2 linked regions of the Mus musculus genome follow. The protein of the gene in region 2 purifies or fractionates together with the protein of the main gene of each other region. This does not show direct contact. Links are inferred from orthologs where the notes say so. Each region holds a gene or a part of one and is shown on either strand. Other genes may lie near its edges.

What was found.
Region 1: the proteins of Mink1 (region 2) and Strn4 purify together in Homo sapiens (affinity purification with mass spectrometry; 3 studies listed by BioGRID and IntAct, with this or other methods). This does not show direct contact. The link is inferred for Mus musculus from reciprocal best matches to the Homo sapiens genes MINK1 and STRN4.

The regions. Positions count from the first base shown.
Region 1 is NC_000073.6:16,832,187-16,838,086, reverse strand, and holds part of Strn4 (striatin-4), read right to left. Parts: intron 5,162-5,900; coding exon 4,986-5,161; intron 4,910-4,985; coding exon 4,862-4,909; intron 4,213-4,861; coding exon 4,091-4,212; intron 526-4,090; coding exon 355-525; intron 239-354; coding exon 98-238; intron 1-97. UniProt on the Homo sapiens protein: Calmodulin-binding scaffolding protein which is the center of the striatin-interacting phosphatase and kinase (STRIPAK) complexes.
Region 2 is NC_000077.6:70,560,123-70,566,803, forward strand, and holds the start of Mink1 (misshapen-like kinase 1), read left to right. Parts: upstream 1-2,758; 5' UTR 2,759-2,947; coding exon 2,948-3,004; intron 3,005-6,681. UniProt on the Homo sapiens protein: Serine/threonine kinase which acts as a negative regulator of Ras-related Rap2-mediated signal transduction to control neuronal structure and AMPA receptor trafficking.

The sequences.
Region 1 (5,900 bases), on a different chromosome or scaffold from region 2:
TCACTGATGGCTAGGTCCCCAGAACCACGGGAGGAACTGGGGTCCTATGGGCACTCAGCCCCCAGTCTTACTGGCCTGCCTGGCTAAGGGCCCTTACCACTGCTCCCTCGAGACTCCAATGTGAGAAGGGCGCTGCCAGCTTCCAGGTCATAAAGAACGGTATCACCAGAACGAAAGGAGGCCACGACATGGGCAGGTTCAGTGCTGGTGAAGGCCACTGAGGTGGGAATTCCATGTTCTGAGAGTACAGGGGAAGAGAGAAGGCTACTCAGAGCGCTGGTCCTGCCCTCCTCAGGAGCCACCAGAGTCCTGGGCTCTGTATCCTGCTTGTGAGACACTGGGGTCAAAACTCACCTCCATCCATGGGGAAGGTACAGAGGCAGCTTGGACCACTGCTGCTGGGATCCCAGATGCGGACGGTGCCATCGGCAGAGCAGGATGCTAGGCGCTGGGAGGTGGGACTGAAGGCCAGACCCCACACAGCATCCCCATGGCCTTCCAGGACATGGCTCAGCACACTTGGGTCTGGGCAGGCCGGGAGGAAATAGATTGTCAGGGACACCAGCTACACTGATTGGCCCAAGGGCTTTATCTTTGCTGGGACCTGGGTGGCTGCCACTGCCCACAAGCTCCTCTGACTCTAGGGCTCAGGAACAGCTCAAGAGCTTAGAAAATGAGGCTTCCATGTTCACTGTCTCTCCAGGGCCAAGGTCAGCAGCTCAGGGGACCAGTGGAGCACGAAGGAAAGCTGCCTCGGCTCCCCTTTTAGTCCCTGCAATGTCTTTCCCTTCTACTTTCTCAGGCTCTGCTGTTCAAAGGACCTTCTGTGGTCTCTCTCGCTGTTAAGTTCACATGGTTCTGGGTCAAGTCCTGCTGACACCTGAAGTCCACTTAGGATTGATGCCTGACCTTCCCAAATGATCATTAGTTTGACAGGAAATGCAACTCTGTATTCTGCCATAACCAATTTAGCACAAAGCCATGTTCAAGAGTAAACAGCACTCAGGAGGCAGAGGCAGGAGGATCTCTATGAGTTTAAGGCCAACCTGGGTCTACATAAAGACAACACAGTGAAATCCTATCTTTTAAAAGAGGGGTGGGAGTGGGGTTGGAGAAATGGCTCAGTGGTAAGAGCATTTGCTTTTACTCACGACCATCTGTAACACAGAGATACATGTAAAAAGAGCTCACTAAGCACCAACAAGTTAGGCAAGGGCACTGAGTAGGAGGGAACTCTGGGTATCTCTTCACATTAAAAAAAACTACTTAAAATTTTTTTATTTAATTTTATTCTTTTATGGTTACCAATGGTGGTAGCACACACCTTTAAGGGAGGGAGGCAGAGGCAGGTGGAGTTTGAAGGCAGCCTGGGCTACAGAATGAGTTCCAGGACAGACGGGGCTAAACGGAGAAACTGTCTCAAAAAACGAAGCCAACCCAAACAAAAAAACAAAACAAAATAAAAAACTTTTTTACTTAAGCAGAGATGGAGTCTATAATAAAGACATTTCTTTCTTTCTTTCTTTCTTTTCCTTTCTTCCTTTCTCTCTCTCTCTCTCTCTCTCTCTCTCTCTCTCTCTCTCTCTCTCTCTCTCTCTCTCTCTCTCTTTCTTTCTGTGTAGCCCCAGCTGACCAAGAACTCAGCAGTTCTGGCTCACTGAGCTCTGCTTGTCTTCTGCCTCAAGGGCTGGAATTAAAGGTGTACATTACTACATGCAGCCTATAAGACATTTTTTAAAAATGTACTTACCCTCTCTTAAAAAGAAAAAGAACTTTAAAAAGTTTTAAAAAAATACTTAAAAGAATTTTTTCTTAAACTATATTGTGAGCACACTCTTTCTCTCCCCAGCTCTCCCCAGATTTTCCCACCTCCTTACTGCCCAAGCAACTTCATGTTCCTTCTCTCTAAAAGACTAAAACTAAAGCAGAAGATTTTAAAAAAAGAAAAAGAAAAGGAAAAATAAAGGAAGGAAGGAAGGAAGGAAGGAAGGAAGGAAGGAAGGAAGAAAGAAAGAAAGGAAGAAAGAAAGAAAGAAAGAGCCAAAAATGAAAGAAACATAAAATTTCCCCCAACAACATGGAGTGTGTTCTGAGTTGTCAGCCACCCCTAGGCATGAAGCCTGCCCTGGAGTGTCACTGATAGACCTAGTGACTCTGGCTCAGAGGCAGCTCATTTCCCTTCCTCACAGAAGTCAATTGTAAATAGCTTCTTGGTGAGGGATAGGACGTGGTGTTCATTTCTCCTAGTAAAAGACTTTTGTCTGTTTGTTTGGTTTTTCAAGACCAGGTTTCTCTGTCCTAGAACATACTTTGTAGACCAGGCTGCTGGCCTCAATTAAAAGTGTGTGCTACCATTGCCAGGTAAAAGGCTTCTTAAAAACAGACTTAAAAACTAGTTTTAAGACCTTGTTTCAAAATAGAATAAACAAAAACACGGGAGTTAATATAAAATGAGGTCCTCAGGAAGGTGAGAAACATCCAAGAACATGGGTGAGGGTGTTCCCAAGACAGTGTTACCCACTAATTAACTCTTTTTTTAATAACAATAAAAAATATTTATTTATTTATTATATGTAAGTACACTGTAGCTGTCTTCAGACACTCCAGAAGAGGGCATCAGATCCCATTACGGATGGTTGTGAGCCACCATGTGGGATTTGAACTCAGGACCTTCGAGAGCAGTCAGTGCTCTTACTCCCTGAGCCATCTCTCCAGCCTCCTCCTATTTAACTCTTATTCCTCCATCTACCTGCCCACTTACCTGCTCATCTGTCCATCCCTCCCGCCTGCCCTGCCCCGTGTCTGGTCTGCACAGAGACAAGGTTGCTCTGTGTAGTCCTGACCACTCTGGTACTCTGTAGACCAGGTTGGCCTCAAACTCAGAGATCCTTCTGCCTCTACCTTTCAAGTGTTGGGATTAAAGGTGTGCACCATTGCGCCTGCTGGCTGCTGCCCAGCACGTGTGTGTGTGTGTGTGTGTGTGTGTGTTCACGCACGCAAGTATGTGAGAACCCAAGTGGTGGCAAGATGACAACTCATGTTGGTGTTGGTTCCCTCCTTCTAATGTGGGTTCTAGGGACTGGACTCTGACCATCAGGGGTGCCTTTACCTGCTAAGCCATCTTGCTGGTCCTATGTAGTGTGTTATTTTGAGACAAGACTTTTCTATGTCGAGCAGGCTGACCTGGACCTTAAATTAAAATCCCCCTGCCTCAAACTCCTGAGCACTAAGATTATCACTTCCTCTTTAACTTTTTCTTGGAGTGGAGAAGACTTTTCCTCCCAATAGGGATTCACTATGTCCGGGCAGTAGCTTGATTGTTATGTGGCACAGCAGGCCTGAAACCCAATACATAATCAAGCTGGTCTTGAACTTGTGATTGCGGTTATCCCTCCTGCCATTACTGCTCCATTGTAAGATGAAACAGCAATTTTTTTTTTTTTGAGACACTATGTAGCTCTAACTGGCCTAGAACTTAGTATGTAGACAAGGCTAGCCTTGAACTCAGAGCATTGTTTGCTTCTGCCTCCTGAGTGCGATTAAAGATTTATGTCTTGTTTTTTGTTTTTGTTTGTCTGGTTTGTTTGTTTTTGAGATATGATTTCATGGCCTCAAACTCCCTATGTAACCAACAATGAACTTAGCATTCTGATCCACCCAGCTCCTGTGGTACTGGGATGGGACCCAGAGCTTCACTCCACCTACTTACTGATCCCCATCTCCAGCTCCTCCACTTAACTCTTAAAGGGCTAAAGGACAAGGCCTCAACTCCCTGCCATTTATGGTCCCCCCAATGCTTCTCAGCTCACCTCCTCTGTTTCTAACAAACCCCTGACCCACAATAAGACCTTAGCTGATCCCCAACATAGTCCACCAAGTTGACCAAGCCCATTCTGGCCCTGACCCAGGCTAGCCTCTGCTTCCCCAAAAGCCAGCTCACACTGTCCCTCAAATGCAGCCCAACTCTCCCCTCACCATTACGCCTCATCTCCCTCCGCCCACTCTCTTAACCTTAAGTCAGACCAGGAAGCTTACAGTGCTACTTCCCAGAGCTGTGACAGGAGGAGGGAGTGGCAGGGTCTGTCCTCACCATAGCCATCATATGGGTCCATGTTGAGGTCAGGAATCTTCCAGCTGTGGATCCTGGCATCAGCCCCACCACTGTAACAGTACTCGCTGTTGCTGCCCATGGTGACTGCCAGCACCGGGCCCCTGCAGGGTGCAAGGGAGAGGCGATGCAAGGCAGCTAAGGCTCAAGCCTTCCTTGCTCACGGGAGCTTGAGGATTTCTCCTAGCTTTTAGTTTTGTTTTGTTTTTGTTTTTTCAAGACAGGGTTTCTCTGTGTAGCCCTGGCTGTCCTGGAACTCACTCTGTAGACTAGGCTGGCCTTGAACTCACAGAGATCTGCCTGCCTCTGCCTCCCAAGTATTGGGATCCAAAGTACATGCCACCATGCCTGGCTCTTCTAGCTATTTTTAAATATCATTTAAATGTATTTATTGTCATATATCACAATGCGCATGTGGAGGTCAGAAGACAACTTCTGGAGTTGGTTCTCTCCTCCTAGCACCTGAGTCCTGGGGATCAAACTTATGTTGTCAAGCTTAGTAGAAGGCACCTTTAGCCACCTAGCCCTCCCATCAGTCAGTGTCCTTTCCTAGGTATATCTTAAGGATGCCATGAGGAATTTGGCATCTTTGCTCTAGGGGCCTCAGTGAAACCACAATGGGAACCAACATGGCCCCTGAGTAAGGGGTATGCCCAAGCCTCCACTGCTCCAGGTCTCCAGGGCAGCAAGAAGCAGCAGCCCATCTATGCTGCTGGGTCGCAGGGCTTACAACAGGCTCAGCCATCTCCCTACCTGTGAGCTCGGAAAGCATGAATCGGCTCCACATCCAGTGCAGCATTTCTGTGGGAAAAAGAGGAATCCCATCACTAGGACCCCAGGTCCTAAGGCCCCGCACCCTCCAGGGTGGCACCCTTACTTCTTGGCCGTAACTGCCTTCTGCAGGTTCCACAGTTTGAGTGTGCCATCCTCAGAGGCAGTAAGCAGTGCTGACTGGCTGTGGTGGAAGGCCAGGGAGCGGATGCCATCGTAGTGTGAGCGGAGGGTAAACTTGGGGTTCCATGTCTTCTTGAAAGCGTCTTTGCTGTCAGACAGCTGGGGATGGGGAGCTGCCTCAGTGTCCTCTTGGATTCCCCAGCACTCATACAAACACTGACAACCACCCATGAACTGACTCGACTAGAACTGACGGTCCCCAGCCTGATATTTCTTTCTGTGTGCCTCAGAAGAGCCCTTCACACATACTCAGGTTTTAGCAGCAAGGGAGGCTCTGGAGGGGCCAGAGGAACCTGACTCTTTGGGGCCTCACAGTTCAGAGGCCTCTAGGAAAAGAGAGGCAGGTCTTTCCTAAACACACAGAACCGGAAACTCTTAAGGATGAGAAAGGGACACCAAGGCACCCTAGCCTCCTCTGCACAGACCAAGAGGTTGTCATGAGGGAGTGACAAATTATGTAGGACTTAACCAGTACCAGGGAAGAGGACGTTTAGGAACAAGGTGAGTATGTCAAGGCCCTGAGGCAGGAGACAGCAAGGCTGGGATACACAAATTCAGAAACATGCCACACACACAAGAAGAAGGCAGAAAGGTCAATGGCAGGCACGACAGTGGATCCCTTAGAAACCGGCAAAGCCCCAGAGTAATGAGAAGCCACATGGGCTGCAGAGCAGTGGATGACAGTCGGTCCTGGCCTCTCTGGGGAAAGTCAGCATAATTGCAGAGATAGGTCCCGAAGCTTCAGTCACAGGGAACGACCTTCACTATGACTTGGGAACCAAGTTCTAGGACAGGGGAGTCTGGAGACTCGAGCCTCAGACCCCGGGAGAGACACTCT
Region 2 (6,681 bases):
GAAAGGCCAACCATAGGGTAGGGGAGGAAAGCAAGGTTGCAAAACAAGCAAAGGAGAACCAGCTTGCGCCAGTCTTGCTTATTCTCCTTCCCACCCCAGGGATTACAATGACCTTGTGAGGTGAAGGTGGCCGTTTATCCCATCCCTGAGATGTTGATTTGTTCATTTATTAACTATCTTTATTAAACAGCCCGTGAATCTGGCATTAAGAAATTTATTGAGTAGATGCTAAATGCCTCTCTATTATTTAATTCATTTTAGACAGAATCTCACAGGCTGTCTTGAAATTCACTATGTAGACCAGGCTAGCCCTTAACTTGCTACTATCCTCTGGCCTTTGCCTCCCAAGTAATGGGATTACAGGTGTATACCACCATACCTGGATTTTTGTTTCTTAAGACAAGGCTTGGGCTGGTGAGATGGCTCAGCAGTTAAGAGCACTGACTGCTCTTCTGAAGGTCCTGAGTTCAAGTCCCAGCAACCACATGATGGCTCAAAACCATCTGTACAGCTACAGTGTACTCATATACATAAAAATAAATCTTAAAAAAAAAAGACAAGGCTTCATATAGCACAGGCTGGCCAGGATCTTACTTTGTAGTCCAGGAAGGCCTTGTACTTTCTGGAAATCCTCTTGAGAACTTTATTAGAGGTTTGAGCCACCATACCCAGGAGATCTCCACACAGAGGTAGTCCTTTGTGCATGTACCCCTGCATGCATACAAATGCATGTAACAAAATATTGTAAAATAGTGTGCATAGAGAGGTGATTCCAGCAGGCCAGGCAAAGCAAAGGCCAATGAGAGTGGCCGTGGCTAGTGTCTCGGTTGGGTTTCTACTTTGTAATAAAACACCCCAACCAAGAGCAACATGGGGAGGAAAGGGTTTATCTCAGCTTACAGTGCTCAGATCATACTCCCTTTCTGAAGGAAGTCAGGGCAGGAACCTGGAAGCAGAAACTGAAGCAGAGGCCACAGAAGATGGCGCAGAGGCTCACTGGCTTGCTCTACCTGCTTCCTTACACAATCCAGGACCACATGCCCAGGAGTGACACCACCCACAGTGGGCTGGGACCTCCCACATCAATGACCAGTTAAGAGAAGGCTTCACTGGCTTACCCACAGGCCAACCCGGTGAGGGTGTTTTCTCAGGTGAGGTTCCCTTTTCTCAAATTGCTCTAGCTTGTGTCAAGTTGACATAAAAGTAGTCAGCACAGCTGGAAGTTGGAGAATACTCCAGGGCAAAGAGAAGTAAGTGCAAAGACAGGTAAGAGGTGTTCTGGGGGCTTCAAGTAGAATATATTTCATTACATCTGGAGCAAGTTTAAGTATGGTTTATTAGAACATAAGACCAGAAAAGAAAAATATATATACATAAGGTCAAAGAAACAGCAGAATCTTGAAAGTCTTTGATATCACTACCCACAAGGCAGTGGGAGTCATCAAACGGTGTTTTTTTTTTTTTTTTTTTTTTTTCTCATTTTGTTTTTTTTTTTTTTCCCCCTGTCATTTTATAGTCCAGGCTAATAGAAAATGTAATCCTCCTGCCTCAGCTTCCTGAATGGTGGGGTTCAGAAAACCGTTTTAAACAGGACAATGATGCCAGATTTAAGTTTTAGAAAAAAAAATCACTTCTGGATAATGAAGAATTTAATCGAAGGTGCCAGGCAGAGAGGCCATGTGGGAAGGCCAAATGGGGATTGTGGCTTGCATATCAGGGGCAAGGTAAATGAGTCAGGAGAGTACCCGGAGCAAGTTTGAATGTGCACCCAAATGTGCCAAGAAGCCTCCAGAGAATTCAAGCTCACCTAAGCAATGTTTATATTCATTTTCAGAGGGAGTGTTAGTGTTGGAAGAGCTCTTGAAAACTCAGAACCTTCTCCCCTCAACTTCATAGAGAAAGAAAAGCCCAGAGGCAAATTTGCTTGCTCAGGGTCAGACAACACATTAGTCAGTGGCAGAACATGTCTGTCTATAGTTACAAAGCCTCACCCATCCTCTAGTGAGACTAACCGGCTGGAGGTGCTGTGCCAACAGGAGTAGATCTGAGGAGCTGGAAAAACATTTGAAGGGATTGGATACAGTTTCTTCTGCTTTACCACTAGCAACTCCAGGGATAGTTCTTTCCTGCAGAACACTGTGCTAAGAGAAGCAGATACAGACGTGTGCAGTAGGAGTGCCTATCTGCTCCCAACATCCCCACTCCAGCCTAGAAAGGGAGTAAAGGGCAGACAGTAGCCCCGTCCTTCCCTCCCACGTGGTTTCTCCAGCCAAGTTCTCACGGAGTGGCCCCTCCTTCAGCGGCTCCACTGTTACCATGGCAATTGGGTGGGTGGACAGCACGTCCTATCTAGAGGCCAGCAGCCCTCGCGTGGGGAGTTACCATAACAACCCCCCTAGTAATAGAGGGGGTTGGGTCCCGCCTCCCTTCCCCCGCAAATCGAGAGGTAGGTGGTTTGATTGGCAGCTGGGCACACGAAAGAGGGAAAGGGAAGAAAAGGAGTCAAATAAAGATCAACGAAGGAACTAGAGGAGAGGAGGCAACAATAATAAAAGGGGGAAAAGGAAGGGAAGGTGTATGCGCACGCGCACCAGCGGGTGGTCGCGCTCCTTCCACTCCAGGCTCTAGCGAGACTGGGTCCGCGCTCGCCCTCCGCCCGCTCTCCTGCGCCTGCGCGCAGGTGTCGGCGCCCCGCAGGAGGGGGCGCCCGGCGCGTTCGCGTCACGGTCGGCTCTGCGCGTGCGCAGGGCAGCCGGCGACTCGGGTTGCAGGCGCGCGGGTGAGAGCGCCTGTCAGCCGCTGGGTCGGTCCTCCCGCTGGCCCTCCCCCTCCCCGGCCTTCGGGGCAGGCGCGGTGGAGCCCGCCCCTCGAGTCCCCCGATGGGGGAGAAGCGGCGACGGCGGCAGCGGAGTGAGCGAGCCGGAGCGTGAGTGGCCCCGCGGCGGCCATGGGCGACCCAGCCCCCGCCCGCAGCCTGGACGACATCGACCTGTCTGCCCTGCGGGTGAGCACCACCCCAGCCTCGCGCCCGCGACCCCTGCCCTTACCCCGAGCTCTCGCCGCCCGGGGGTTCGCCCTCTGGAGATTCTGGGAGCCAGTTTGGTCCCCACCCTGTGCTGCCCTCCCCCACACTTGCGTGCCACCCCTACCTTGCTGCTGGGATCCGAGTCCCCTCCTTTATAGGCGTTTGAGGGTCACCTCTGGTGTCCCTAAACACAGCCCTGCATCACCTGCAGAGCCTTTCTTGTGTCCCCCCTCTCTCGGCCCTCATGTCTGCTTCCTCCACCTCCTCTTCTGGCTCCTGGAATTTTGACTTTGCAACTGCCTCAGCCTCCCCCTCATCCCTCGTTTTCTTCCTCGCCTACCCCTAAATTGCAAGTTGGGCGGATTTCACCTCCTCGCTCCACCCCACACACCTCCTACGTCTCCATCCCACGTTCACTTTCCCTATCCCTTTTCTCGTGTTTCAAGTGCAGCTTTTCAGACCCAGGCATTTCCGGTCTCGGGGTCCCTGAATATTACATTACTAACTCTGCAGCCGCGTGGGGCTGGGAGGACAGACAAGTGCACAGTGGGAGGAAGGGAAGCCTGGATTTCCTCGGAAACTCGGGCCGGAAGACGATGTTTACATACATGTACAAGCACACACACACACACACACAAACACACACGCACACACAACACGCTGCCTGAGGTCAGTAGGGAGGGAACTAGTGGGAGTGGAGGCAAAGGAGAGTTGGAGGGAGGGGTTCATTAGGGAAGCGGTTAAGAGGAAACAACTGTGTCAGGAATGCTTTCAAATAACCCATTTATTGTTCCACGTGGGGCACTTACTCTCTCTCCTCCCGGAATTTTCAGTTCAGCATTTGTAAGTGTTCTCTAGCGGGCAGCTTTGTCTTAAGGGCAACATAGAAATTTCAAGGTGAACCATTCCAGACTGTCTCCCAGGTGGTGTTTTGATTCCATGCCCGGTGAGCTTTCCCAACCGGCGGCGTAGGTGTAGCTAGAGCAGGATTCCCCACCTCATGCTTACCTTCTCAGAAGGTCTCTGTACACATTGGCTTCTGGCTTGTAAATTACCCAGGGAAAAGGCAGCCACCTCACAAGTGCCCCGGATATGACTGGAGGGGAGAGAGAATTGAAGAGAGCAGAGTCATGTTGTTAATTGGGTTTCTCTAGGTGACACAGTTTTTTTTTTTTTTTTTTTTTTTTTCCCTCCCTTGCCATTCAGGTCATAATTTGTTTGGTGCAACGTTGGGTTATGAGACCTGACTTACTGGAGATAACTTTCTGGAGAACAAGACTGAGTACTGGATCTCCCTCTTTCCTCTCTTCTCTCTCTCTCTCTCTCCCTCCCTCTCTTCTTCTGTCCCCCTCTCTCCTTCTCTCTCCCTCTGTGTGTGCCTGCGCTTGCTTTGACAGGGGAGGCTTTAGATCAGCTTAGTCAGTGTTTAAACTGGGATACTCGAGTCCTTTGGGATGTAAGATGGAAATCCAGGTTTTGAGTAAAGTTTTAATGTGCTTGCATTTGGAATGCAATTGCAAACTGAAGTTGTTGATTAACTCTGGCCGCAGGTTGTCTGGCTGTGGTGACCATAAAGAAACACTGTCACCCAGTGGGTAGGTGCAGGCAGTGACCTTTGATTTTTACCTCTGGTCCTCTACTGCTCTTTTCTCTTGGTTTCTCTGGTAACTTTATCCTGGGCCCCCAACTTGGGATTTCCAGAAAATTACTATTTGCCCTTGGACATGGTATTTCCCTCCGTGAAGTATGTTAGCCTCTTTCCATGCTTACTCCTCCGGGGGTTCCTCTCCTTCCCTTCTAGAGAACTGGGTGACCTTTTCCTTGTACTTCTGTCTGTCCTGCCTTCTGCCTCTGAAGAAAACAGCTCATGTCTCTCACTCTGGTACTCCAGGACCTGTGGAAGAGCTGTACTTTCTTGAATGGGGCTGGAAAGGCTGCTCTCTCCTTGCTGGCTTCTCTCTCAATTGCCAGTCCGGTCCGACACATCTGTGAGAACTGCTTGTGGCTCTGTCAGGCAGCTGGCCCAGTCACACCTTGTTCTTCTGTTCCCGTTTTCTAGTTAGGAATGGAACCATTGGGAGAATTAACCAAGTGTGCAAGCCTGGTGTCAGTGGTTGGGTTAGGGTGAGGGAAGAGCATCCTTAGGGTTGAGAAGCTAGCCTCTATGACCTCAGATGTCTGTCTCCTCTTGTTTCAAGATAAGGCTTGGTTTTCAGCTGACGGTGAGAGTAATAGTCTGATATTAGAGGAAGACTGAGTTGCACTAATCTCTTAGTAAGGTGACCAGAAGGACCTGCTACTTTGTTACCACACCACCCTTGGCTTCTTGGGCTGTTTGTCCATCAGTATGGTGGTGTAGTGTAGTGGGGGATGAACATGAGTCCAGTTGCTTTTCTGAATTGAAACCCCAGCTTCCTTACCTCCTGTAAGATACAGACGTTGGTTTGTTATCCTTACCTCCCTTCCTTCAGACTCTGCGGTCTAACTTCCCTAAGCTCTGTTTTCTTGCCTGTATGGTGGAATTGGCAATAGCATTAGACATAGTTACTGAAGTTAAATGAAATGGTGCACAGTAAGTATTTAGCTCAGTTCCTAGCGTAGAGTGACTGTATTACCAGTCAGAGAAGCCTCCTAGAACTCTAATAACACTTCTCTGCTTTATGTCTCTATAAAATTATTTTTTTCCATACTTATTATCACTAGTTGACATAGATCTATTTCTGTCGATCTTGACTAAAATGTGGATGAAGGCTGGAGGTATAGCTCTGTAGTAATTGTCTGCTTAACATGGTGACACACTAGGATTTTCAGTGCTACACAAATGAAAGCATACTGTAAGCTAAAATTCTGACTGTCCTGTTCCCTCTGTGTCCTTGTGCCTAAGCATTTTATGTAGTGGGACTCAGATATTTGTTAGGTAAGTGCATGCTGCAACAACTGGAAGCTGTTAGTGTATGTTTGCTTAAAGTAACAAAGAAAGCTAGACATGGCCAGAGGAGATGGCTCAGTGGGTAAAGGCAGTCACTACCAAGTCTGATAACAACCTGAGCTTGATCCTCAGAACCCACCTGGTAGAAGAAGAAAGTGGGTTGTCCTCTGACTTCTACACATGTGCCAGGCTGCTTGTATGCATGAGGTCATATATATAACCACACAAAGGTATACACATATACACACAAATATAAGTAAATATGCTAGGTGCTGTAGCACACACTTTTAATTCCAGAAGAAAAGTAGGTGGAGGTCTTTGAGTTACAGGACAGCCTGGTTGGTCTACATAATAGAGAAACCCTGCCTTAAAAGACAAAACAAAAGTTCAAAGGCAGCCTGGAATACATGAGAACCTGTCTCAAAAACAAGGACAGAAAGAGTCTTTTCTGAGGTGCTTTGGAATCAGACCTTGCCTTGTGATAAAGCAGAGCTCTGGGTGCTTCTGATCAAGCAATGGCTAAAATAAAGTTTGTATTATCCTAGAGGAAATAGTATGAAGTCATCTTTGCCTGCGTCCCAACTTTGTTATATTCCGGGAGAGTCTTCTGACTTGGAACTGTTGGCTTTTCACAGAGGATAAAGCATGAACAAAAGCAGCTGGAAGCGGGGAGCAGACCCCAGGCTCCCCTGGGGACCTCTTTCCTTTGACATGACTGCTTTTGGTT